Linked DNA regions of Arabidopsis thaliana. The protein of the gene in region 2 interacts with the protein of the main gene of each other region in a pairwise test. Each region holds a gene or a part of one and is shown on either strand. Other genes may lie near its edges.

Region 1 (6,397 bases), 5.4 Mb from region 2:
GAATAGAAAAATCGATCTTTGTAACTCCCAAAACTTTCCATTTGACTGTGGTTATGTTAAAGTTAGAGAACAATGAATCTGTGGTTAAAGCTCAGAATATCCTTCAGGTATAAGTGATTCCTATTCTAAGAGACATAGTGTACTTGTTCTTCTTCTTAGGATTGCTTTGATGATTGAGGTGTTGTCTTTTTCTGAAAAGCAGAGTATTTTTTCTAATGTGAGGCAAGCTTTGAAAAACAGACCTGTCTTCATAAGACTCAGAGGATTGGTAATTGCTACAATTTCTAGTGGCTTGAAACATAATCTTTGAATCAATCCCAATGGTTTTTTGTCTTGTTAAGGAATGTATGAGTGGATCTTTAGACAAAACTCGCGTTCTCTATGCTCCTGTTGAAGAAGTTGGTCGTGAGGGCCGCCTGCTAAATGCTTGTCGTATCCTAATTTCTCTAAGCGCTTATTTTTACTTGTGTGAAGACATGACTTCAAATTACTATGCAAGTGCTTCTGAACTCTTTAACTCTCTAGTTTAGATGTTATCATTGATGCATTTGAGAATGTTGGATTTGCTGGTAAAGATGCAAAGTCACGCTTGAAGGTAATGCTTGTCACTTTTCTGTTGTTTACGTCTTTGACTAGGACAAAGAAAAAGATGGATATAACAATGTTTCAGCTTCTCCTTCATGCTTGTTCCTTATTTGCAGCTACACGCCACGTTGATGAATGCAAGCTACAGAAAAGATAAAAGCAAAAAGATGGATACTTTTGATGCTCGAGAGATACACAAAGAGTTTGAGAACAAGGATTGGGGAACATATCTAATCAGAGAAGCTCACATCTCACAACGTTATAAGTATGACCCCAATGGCTACTTCCATTGCTGCGCTTCACTACCTTTTCCACATAAGTGACATTGACAACGATCAAATCTCCTCCACATGATTTGCATTAGGAAAATTAATGTCAAAACTTAGGTAAGTATGGTATGTCACTGTGTAACTGTTTTTATATGTGTGTGTCACAGCGATTGGTAACTATGTGTTGTGTAACTTTTGTTTGTAAGTTAAGTTTTGGACAGTAATATTCTTCCTTCCGATGATTGGATTAGAAAATTCGTGAAAAGTGTTTGATTTTGTATTATTTCTGTTTATATCGCATGTTACTTCTTTTGGTAATTTTGTAGAATTGATGGTGTATTAGGGTTTACGAGTAGATGTTTTCTAGAAACAAAAGTATTTCTCCTAATGTGAGGCAAGCTTTGAATAACCAACCCATCTTCATAAGACGCATCCTTGAGTTATACATATTTAGTGGCTTGAATCATCTTTGACTTTGATTATCTATCCAACTTTTAATTCCTAAAACATAGAGATTCATAATAAATCTGTAACTTTAATTCGTCTCTTTACCAATTGAATGCCAAATCTAGATAGATCAAAAAGCGAACCAGCTCTTTCTAGACGAATAAGCTCTTTAAACTCTGTCGTATGTGTTGTTTCATAGGACCTTTCATCTTTTTCTTCTTCTCATAATTAGTTACCAGTGGCAAAAAGGGAAAAGTCTAAAAGGAACTCTAGAGTGAATTTAGTATGCAATTAAATAAATCATTTACTAGATAAGGGTTTGATTACAAACCTTAGGATAAATATTTGATTGTATCTCAAAGTATAAGAAATGTGTCAAGCAGATTCTGTGTTTTTTTTGTTTCGATTAAAACCGCTAAAACCTTGACAAGGTTGTCTCCACAAACAATATTCATATCAATCTCAAAGAATGCAACATGCAAAATGTTGTGCATATTGTTTGTGGAGGACCACCATCGTAAGAGGATTTATGTAACATAACTTAAAAGAAAGTGGCTATATATAACTTTTTTTGAAACCTTTTTCTACAAACACCTTGGATGTTCTTTAAATAAGATGAAAAGGCTATTATTCTAATGAACAACATGAAGCCAAAAGAAAATCCAAGGCGTTTGCAGAAAGAGGTTATAAAAGGCTCCGAAATATTTCATCCGAACCATAAACTTGTTAACACACCTAAAGAACAATGATGCAGTAATGGGAATGAATACACACGTCCATTTGACTGCTGTGATGGAAAGGATTTTATAAGGTGAGAAATTTTTAGGGTTTTGATTTTGAATAACTTAATTAGTTTTCTAAAAATTGAACTAAAAAATCAAAACAAAATCCGAAAGGAGGGGAAGTAAATATTTCTTTCGAAATTTGTGGAGATCTATATTTCCCTTTTCAATACTTTGATCTCGCTTTTTTTTTTTTGAAAGTATACGGTCAAATATATAATTTTCTAAACGTAATGGGGTTTAGCAGCAAATAGTCGTAAATACTGGCGGAAGAAAATGATATTTTACGGCTGAATCATCACCGGAGAATGAGAGGAAGATGTTCGCTTACAGGACTCTGTTTAGGTTCGTTTTCTCTTCAAAAAAAAATTGATTCTTTCTTCTGAATTCTATGATCTTTTATCAATCTAACAAAACCCAAAATTTTATTTTCTTCCTTGCGATGGTTGGATTAGAAAAATCGTTTGATTTTGTCTTATTTCTTCTGTTTATGTCTCATGTTGTTTGTTTTGTAGGATTGACCGTGTATTTGGGTTTACGAGTAGATGTTTTCAATCGAAACCGGTAATTCAATAATTTGTTGTCTCCTTGGCATTTTGTTACTCTAGTTTTTGGCAAGTGTTAGTCTTTGTAAGTGATTTGAGATTTTTTTTCGTGGAATTTGGATTTGATGTTTTGTGGCTACACCACTTCACATTTCAGGAATCTTTTAGTATCCTGAGCTTTAGGGGAAGTGAGAAGAGTGCCATGGATGGATATAAGAAGCAGAAGATGGTAAATTTAGTGTGGAGACCCATCTCCACTCAAACCTCTTCAGTTATTGCTGGTTAGGATCTTTAATTTAGCAGTTTAATCGAATATTCCATCCCGGTTTTGAAAGTTTCCACCTTTATGGCTTTCACATGATGAGACAGAAGCTGGAAATGAAGTCCAAGAAGTAGCTCAGTGTAGCAAATCAAGTGATGTTTCTAAGGAAGTTATTGAAGGAGAGACAGCTTCAGTTGTTTCAGCTGGAAAGCATTCAGTTTCTCTTGAGGTTCTTTGTTCCTTCTGTTACTTGAAGTTTCTTTGTGCTCTTTTGTTTCAACTACTTAACAGACTTTATGTAATTGGTTTCAGGTTGGGGCTTCTTTGATTAAGTTCATTAGAGGGAAAGAGTAAGAGCTCTAGTTTGTTAATCTTATCCTTCGAGGTATACTTACGTGCTAACGGGTTTGCATTCTTTGCAAAAGAGGAACGACGCAGATGAAACTTGAAGAGGAAATGGGAGTGAAGATCATTCTTCCATCATCAAGGAACAAAGATCATATCAGTAAGAGTTTTTGGAACCAACTGTAATGTATAGTTTGATATCTGAGCCCTTAATCCTAGCTGGCTGACTAGCTACCATTTTTAAACTGATTTTGGTTCACCAAATCTTGTTTTGTTGTGTCCTTTTTTCTTTGCAGGCATTGAAGGCGGTTCAGTGGATTGTGTGACTAAAGCTTCAAAAAGAATAGCAACCATTATCGATGAGGTCCCTTGTCGTTTCCTTTTGAACTTTTATTATCATACTCGGCTTTTTATTTTCCTTCTTGTTCTACTTATTTCGTTCTGATTGTGCGCTTTGGAATTCATATTCTAGGTTGTAAGGAGTCCAAGTCTCGACTACTCACACTTTGTATCACTTCCATTAGCCATACATCCTGAGTTAGTGGACAAGCTAGTGAATTTTCAGAATTCTATCCTCGGGATCCATAGCATAGCTAGTGATAAGCAAGACGACCAAGCTAATAGAGCAACCACAAGTGTGGCAGTTGATCTAAAAGCTAATAGTGAAACAAACCAGGTCAATGTGGGTATCAAGAGCATACCAATTGTCAGTTACCCGCCTAAGGCCAAATCAAAGTCATCTACTTTATTGGGTAAGAAAATACTGAAGTCGTTTGATTTGATCTAAGAAAGAAGATAAAGTGTTCCCTCTGATATGCTCAGTAACTTTTTATACATTGACAGACTTAGGAATTGAAAAGTCCATATTTATTAAGCCAAGTACTTTTCACTTGACTGTGGTTATGCTGAAGTTATGGAACAAAGATCGTGTCAATGCAGCGTGTGATGTTCTGAAGGTAATTTCTTTCTGAAGAGATGTCATTCATTTATTAGGAATGCTTAATGAAACTGAGTTTTCTCTATTCTACAATCCAGAGTATATTTCCTAGTGTGATGGATGCTTTGGATAACAAACCAGTATTCATTAGACTTAAAGGATTGGTAAGATGATACATCCTTAGCTTTAGTTTTACAATTCATTTATGTACTTGGTCAGCTTATTTCTATTCACTCATCTGTCATGTTGCTTATTTGCTATATTCTTAAGGATTGTATGAGAGGACCATTAGACAAGACTCGTGTTCTCTATGCTCCTGTTGAAGAAATTGGTGATGAAGGCCGGCTTTTACGTGCTTGTCGTATCCTAGATTTTAGTACGAATGTTATTTATAGTAGTGGCATGGTTAGACCGTTAAATTAAGAGTTTAGTGTAAATGCTTTCGATTTTCTTAATACCAAGTTCAGAAGTTATTACTGATGCATTTGTGAAAGCTGGGCTTGTTCTCGAGAAAGATGCAAAGCAAAGCTTGAAGGTAAAAGCTTTCTGAGTATGACGAGATTGTTGCAGTCACTTAACGTTAGCCAAAGGCTCAGAACTAATGGAATTGGAAGTAGTGAATCGTGCTTCTGTTTCATACTTTTTCCTTTCTTTGCAGCTGCATGTGACCGTGATGAATGCGAGGCACAGGAAAAGGAGGTGATTGATTCCCAACTCCAGACTTATGTTTAGATAAAGAAAACAATGTTACAAACCTCTGATTATCTGAAAACCCTTTTGGTCTCAGAAAGAACAATAAGAAGAAGATGGAGACGTTTGATGCAAGAGAGATACACAAACAGTTTGGAAACGAAGACTGGGGAGAATATCTGATCCAAGAAGCTCATCTCTCACAGCGTTTTGTGTTCGACCAGAACGGTTATTACCGTTGCTGTGGTTCAATACCATTTCCAGGAGAACAGAGAGCCTGAGAAGAATCATCTAACCAGCGGCCACAGTCTCAAATCTCAAGCATCTTCACAGGTTTTGGTCCCGTGGTATGAGCACTTACAACTTTGAGAAGAGAACCTGATAAAATTGTAAAGTTGTACCGGTCATCTTGTGTTAACCAAATAGTTGTCTTCGGTTTGGTTCTTTCTTGGTCTTTGTTCAATAAACCGAGCCAAAACGTTCTTGTACTCTTTCTACAAGGTAATAAAAAGGTTCTTAGTACATTTAATAGAAAAATGATTATTTACAGCTTTATTAGAGGCTATTGATTGATTTAGTAATGAACTAATAATGCAAGTCAACAGATCTAAAATTGGAAAGATTATTGGCAATGGAGGCAGGACAACGAAAATCAAGCATATTAAACTCTTTAAGATTCGTATAATTCCACCGGCCTAACCAAATCTCTAAGCAATTGTTGTTTATGTATTATAATATAGTTCACCATCTATTTAAGCTTAAACGAGTGTCTAATACATAGACGTATATGACAATTAATTAATGATCCGATCCAAACGACCCTTGGCGTATTTGGTAAGGTAGCAGTGATGTGCTTAATTATTAACCAACGATGTACTGAGTTTCTAGAATTAGTAAGAACCATAAGAGTTTTAAAAAGTGTAAAACGTAAAACATCAACACATGTCATTCCAGTTAACATACATATATCTATATATATGTTAACGTGTTTGCATAATTTTTTTAATTAGAGAAAAACAGCACACTATGCAAAAGATCGTTCATATATCTAACGTGTGATTTAATCGATCTAACAACTTTTTATTCCCTTTTATATTACCAAAATATTTATTTCCATTGATCATATATTTGAAGTAGCAAAAATTGGTAAAATTTTAGTTAAAAATGAGGGAGATGAAAACTGATATATTATGTAAATCTCAAGTTTTTGTAATGCATAAGAAAAATGTTATCACCATTGCAACTATCCATGGTAGCAACCGTATATCTCAGCATATGATACAAAAAAAAAACAAGAAGAAGCTCATATTCAAATTTCTTACGTTCAAACGAATAACTTGATTGCTAAACAACAAATCTAGATAGCATTGGATTCATCAGTAAGAGTTAAAATCGTACAGCATTGTGAATCATAAAATGTTGTACAAGATTGTGAAATAACAAATAATATTGTAAATTTATCAAAAAAAAAGGGGATTGTGGATCAATGAATATGATGGAGAATGTTCATAGAAGAGGTAAATAATAGAGGGACC
Region 2 (4,644 bases):
AATTTAAGTATTTTTATACTAGTGTCATAGAAATATCTGTATTAGTTTGGTGGTACAAAGTTAACATTAAATATGTTAATGCTTGGCTATTCACGAACATTTTAAGATTATATCGTATTATTCTTTTGGTGACTTTCTACATTACATTATAGTATTGACTGTTTGACTCCAAGTGAGTATTTAAATATGACCAAAATATCCATACGTTAGAAAGTTATACTTTTGTTTAATTTCTTTGTTTACCATATAATTTTGACTCTTATATTAGTAACAGTTATGTTTCTTCAGTTATTATATATATGAACAATGATATAAAGAATTCAGTTTTTTTTTTGTCAAACAAAGATCTTCATTCATTAAAATCTCAAAAGAGACAAGTTCATACACAATGAAAATAAGAAATTACAGGAAAATAAGGATAGAAGCTTCATGAGTTTTCTAATGATTGAAAAATCTGTTGAGGCCTTGGCAGATTCGACCATGAAGGCGGGCTTCGCGAAATCCTCGACCATCTTGTGGTCAAAAGAAGCTCTTGCAAACAATGCATCCGAGCTTTTGAAGAAGTGCTCCGTTGAGGAGGCTGACGGGTTAACGAGGTTGAGAAAAAGACGGTAACCACTTCTTGAAGACATGGTCATAATGCCGTACTTTTTCAACATGTCAAGAGATTGCAAATTATCCAAGCAATAGATTAACATGACATGAATGAGCGCGATAAATGGTGAGTGGATAAGTTGAGAGTTTTCAAGGCTTCGGTAACACCTACTCGGTAGAGACAGGGTCATAATGCCGATCCTCTTAACTCTAAAGGCCATTTGCCTATGGGTGGGTAAAGGAGTCTCGGATAGGGTCCAAAGAAAACTTAACATCTTATCTCGACAATGGTAACTACCATTCCCACCTAAACAAACCACTATTCTGATAGCAAGGCGTCCATTACCAGCCCAAACAGAGGTAGAGGGTGCTAAAAGGAGGGAACTCGATAGTAAATTAACGATACTTGGTGTGGGCAGCAACACTCTAGGACACTTCCAAAGAGAAAATAGCTCCAAACGATTCAAGACTAGACTCAAACACTGAAGAAAACGGACCAAACGAGATAGACTATCAACTAGGTTTTGTGAGAGAGAGCTACTAATCCAAGCTAAATCCATCATCACCATCACAGGAAAGCGTCCATTACTCTCCCTAAATGATAACAACATCAAAAAATTTGGGCTTTGTAAAACAGATTTGAAAACAGACCTGGGCCTTAGAGGATATGGGCTTAACCCAGCAGAAGGCTTCATGGGCTTTAATAGTTTAGGTAATGGGTTAGGGGGAGGACAGAAGGGGCTTGGGTTGGGCCCAATGCGAAAACCCTGAGGCAGCATTAGGTTTAGCCGCCAAGCGCATCTTCTCTTTGTCACCAACGACGACGGCGACGGCAAAACGGACTTAGGGTTTACAGCTGCCGAATTGAGGGCGTCAGAGACAAGATCTAACCAAACGAAGTTTGTTTGCGATGAGGCTCGGTCTGCAGAAGTTGGATCTTCCAAGGTAAAGCTCTTCAACAGCTCCGGCGTCAAAGCAAAGCTCCGATCCAGAGGGGAATAGGGAGATGCCGGTATTGACTTCAAGGGGAGCCGAGGAGAGGGATAAACCACGGAGGTCGCAAAGAAGATAAGGGGAGAACTAGCACAAGAAGTGAACGTGTTCAGAGGTATGGTGGTCAAGGTAATCTTTGGATACAAAGGGAGAAAAGACAAGCGAAACATGGGAACACGGGAGAATAGAGAACACCAGATGACATAGCCATTGAGAAGAGAGCGACAAGGGAACGATAGCTCCCGGCACCGGCGAGCAAACGGCTCTACCGGTGCCGGAATTTGTTTGGAAGCTTTGGCCTCGATGAGAGAGAATGAATGAAAAGAATTCAGTTTAAAAATGTCAAATTGGTGTTCTCAATTTTCAACATACCCAATAATACAACTAAACAATATTGAAGGCCCAATACCATATACACGATGGCCCATCTACTGCCTGATAGTATGTAGGGGGTATTAATGTCATTCCAACAAGTAGGGGTAGAATCGGTAATAAGGACACAAACTCGCCTCTTTCGCTTTGTCTCTCTCGTCTCTAAGCAGTAGCAGATCTGAGTTTTGGAGAGTTCAAAGGAAGAAGATAACTCCAATACCAGAGGTTCGTAACGATGTGAGATTTTTCTCTGTTGTTTATGAAGTCTTAGCTCAATTTGATCTTCCAATGAATTTCGTTAAAATTTGCTAGACTTCTATCAGCGCCTGTAGATCGATTTAGGTTATGTACTCTCATTCACATCGGTGGGAAGCGATCAATCTTAGAATCCACGTTTTATAATTTCTCGTTTTGATCTTGTTTTTTTCACAACTTGTAAACATTGCGATGTTGATTGTGTTGATTAATCGCTTAAAATTGAGGTCTGAGTTTAAATAATCCTTGTGCTTACCATATGGTCTTGGCTGTGATAATTTGTTAATTGTTCTGCTTAATAATCTAACACTTTGCTTCGGTTAATGTCTGGATCAACATGCTCATGGTTGTGTTCCCTGTTGATTTGTATTGTAACAGTGAAAGCATTCAGGAAACATGCCTCCTCAGAAGATTGAAACTGGTCATAGCGACACTATTCATGATGTGGTCATGGATTACTATGGAAAGCGAGTAGCAACTGCCTCGTCTGACTGCACGATCAAGATAACCGGAGTAAGCAACAGCGGTGGATCTCAGCATCTAGCTACCTTAACCGGTCATCGAGGTCCTGTCTGGCAAGTCGCTTGGGCGCACCCAAAGTTTGGTTCACTTCTCGCTTCATGTTCCTATGATGGGCAAATTATATTATGGAAAGAAGGTAACCAAAACCAATGGACACAAGCTCATGTCTTCACAGACCACAAAGTATCTGTCAACTCTATCGCTTGGGCTCCTCATGAACTTGGACTCTCCTTAGCTTGCGGAGCATCTGATGGAAACATATCAGTTTTCTCGGCTCGAGCTGATGGCGGTTGGGACACGACAAAGATAGACCAAGCACACCCTGTTGGTGTCACTTCAGTGTCGTGGGCACCGGCCACAGAACCAGGCGCACTCGTTAGCTCTGGTATGATCGATCCGGTCTACAAACTAGCATCCGGCGGGTGTGATAGCACGGTGAAAGTGTGGAAGTTCTCGAACGGGTCATGGAAAATGGATTGTTTCCCGGCTCTCAACAAGCACACGGATTGGGTCCGTGATGTGGCTTGGGCACCGAACTTGGGTCTCCCAAAGTCAACCATAGCCAGTGGTTCAGAAGATGGGAAAGTGATCATATGGACCATAGGGAAAGAAGGTGAGCAATGGGAAGGTACTGTTTTGAAAGATTTCAAAACACCAGTGTGGCGGGTCTCGTGGTCGTTGACCGGTAATTTGTTGGCTGTTTCCGATGGGAACAATAACGTTACAGTGTGGAAAGAGTCTGTTGATGGAGAGTGGGAACAAGTGACTGTTGTTGAGCCATAGATTGTTGTTTGTTTGTTTGGTTATCTTTTGTTTTGTGGTAATATCAAAATGTGGTGTGTTCTGTATACAATTTCTAGGGACCTGTTTCTCTCTATACGTTTCTCAGGAAAGTATATTCTTATGTATTTTAATCAGACAACAGAGATTGCAAAAGAAATGTATTTTTCATAAAACTTTTTAATTCCGATAATGAGTTTTTTTTACTGGTATGATGTTTTTCACATTTTTACCCTTTTATGAGATTCCGATTTTGGCGTAAATTCATTGTAGTTTATAACCAAAATTTAATTGATTTCAATATAAACTCATTTTTAACTAATTAATACTTTAAAAATTTAAGCCTGTTCAACCTTAGTTAATTGTGTTTTTAATCGATCAACTAATTTTCAACTCATTAACCAGCTCGTTTAGCCAGCCACTTGATAAATTTTAATGCTCAATTAGGCATAAAATTTTGATTTACGAAATTTTGCCGATGGCGCTCAAAAAATGCTAATCCGGCTCTGCATCGATTTATAATATTTACCCTTTCAATACTCCGTGTAGTTAAGAGGATCGAGGGTATTTGCGTCATTAACAGTGATAACAAGTGCTAAAGCGATGAATGAAGCGCCTATTTTCACAATTCGAAATCTCTCTCCCCCCGCTTTGGCCCCAAAAAGTTTTTTTTTTTTTTTTTTAATTGCTAAGACAAATATCCGAATCTCAGAAATTTCTCGTCCTCTTTCTCTGTTTTTTGTTTCTGGGGAAAATGTCTTCTGCGATTGTTGTTTCTCAAGATGCGGAATCGCTTGGTCTGCAAATTTATAGCCGCAAGGAGAAATCTCTTGGGGTTCTCGTCTCCAAGTAACACCTCTCTCTCTCTCTTTCACCAGATTTTGCTTTGTTGGATTTATGTGTAATTGATGTCTTATGTACGATTCAGTTTCCTGAGACTGTATAACCGAGACGATGTGGATCTCATTGGGCTCGATGATGCCGCTGGGCAATTAGGTTTATTCTTCTTCCTCCTGATTTTGTGAGATTGAAATTTTAAAATCGATGGATAGGTCAAATCTAAACGTATGCGTTCGATTCCTAGACTAAGAACAATTGGGCTAACGGAGAACTAAGTAATCCGATGAC

The links. Proteins that work in one complex are often made in the same cells at the same time.
Region 1: the proteins of AT3G01340 (region 2) and AT3G16230 interact in a two-hybrid assay, tested with the Arabidopsis thaliana proteins (one large-scale study listed by BioGRID).

Annotation. Positions count from the first base shown.
Region 1 is NC_003074.8:5,498,161-5,504,557, forward strand, and holds AT3G16230 (Putative eukaryotic LigT), read left to right. Parts: upstream 1-1,893; 5' UTR 1,894-2,112; intron 2,113-2,206; exon of another isoform or gene 2,207-2,330; 5' UTR 2,331-2,402; coding exon 2,403-2,428; intron 2,429-2,458; exon of another isoform or gene 2,459-2,598; coding exon 2,599-2,647; intron 2,648-2,785; coding exon 2,786-2,909; intron 2,910-2,976; exon of another isoform or gene 2,977-2,997; coding exon 2,998-3,119; intron 3,120-3,202; coding exon 3,203-3,240; intron 3,241-3,315; coding exon 3,316-3,395; intron 3,396-3,531; coding exon 3,532-3,599; intron 3,600-3,707; coding exon 3,708-3,987; intron 3,988-4,078; coding exon 4,079-4,191; intron 4,192-4,270; coding exon 4,271-4,336; intron 4,337-4,442; coding exon 4,443-4,533; coding exon of another isoform or gene 4,534-4,595; exon of another isoform or gene 4,596-4,639; coding exon 4,640-4,707; coding exon of another isoform or gene 4,708-4,722; exon of another isoform or gene 4,723-4,830; coding exon 4,831-4,871; intron 4,872-4,959; coding exon 4,960-5,143; 3' UTR 5,144-5,413; downstream 5,414-6,397. Other genes in the region: AT3G16220 (Putative eukaryotic LigT), read left to right, coding at 1-107, 203-268, 342-432, 531-595, 702-908.
Region 2 is NC_003074.8:126,432-131,075, reverse strand, and holds AT3G01340 (Transducin/WD40 repeat-like superfamily protein), read left to right. Parts: upstream 1-2,081; 5' UTR 2,082-2,184; exon of another isoform or gene 2,185-2,196; intron 2,197-2,592; 5' UTR 2,593-2,610; coding exon 2,611-3,519; 3' UTR 3,520-3,721; downstream 3,722-4,644. Other genes in the region: AT3G01345 (uncharacterized protein), read right to left, coding at 357-1,757; DEL3 (DP-E2F-like protein 3), read left to right, coding at 4,271-4,365, 4,445-4,512. UniProt on the Arabidopsis thaliana protein: Required for protein transport from the endoplasmic reticulum to the Golgi apparatus.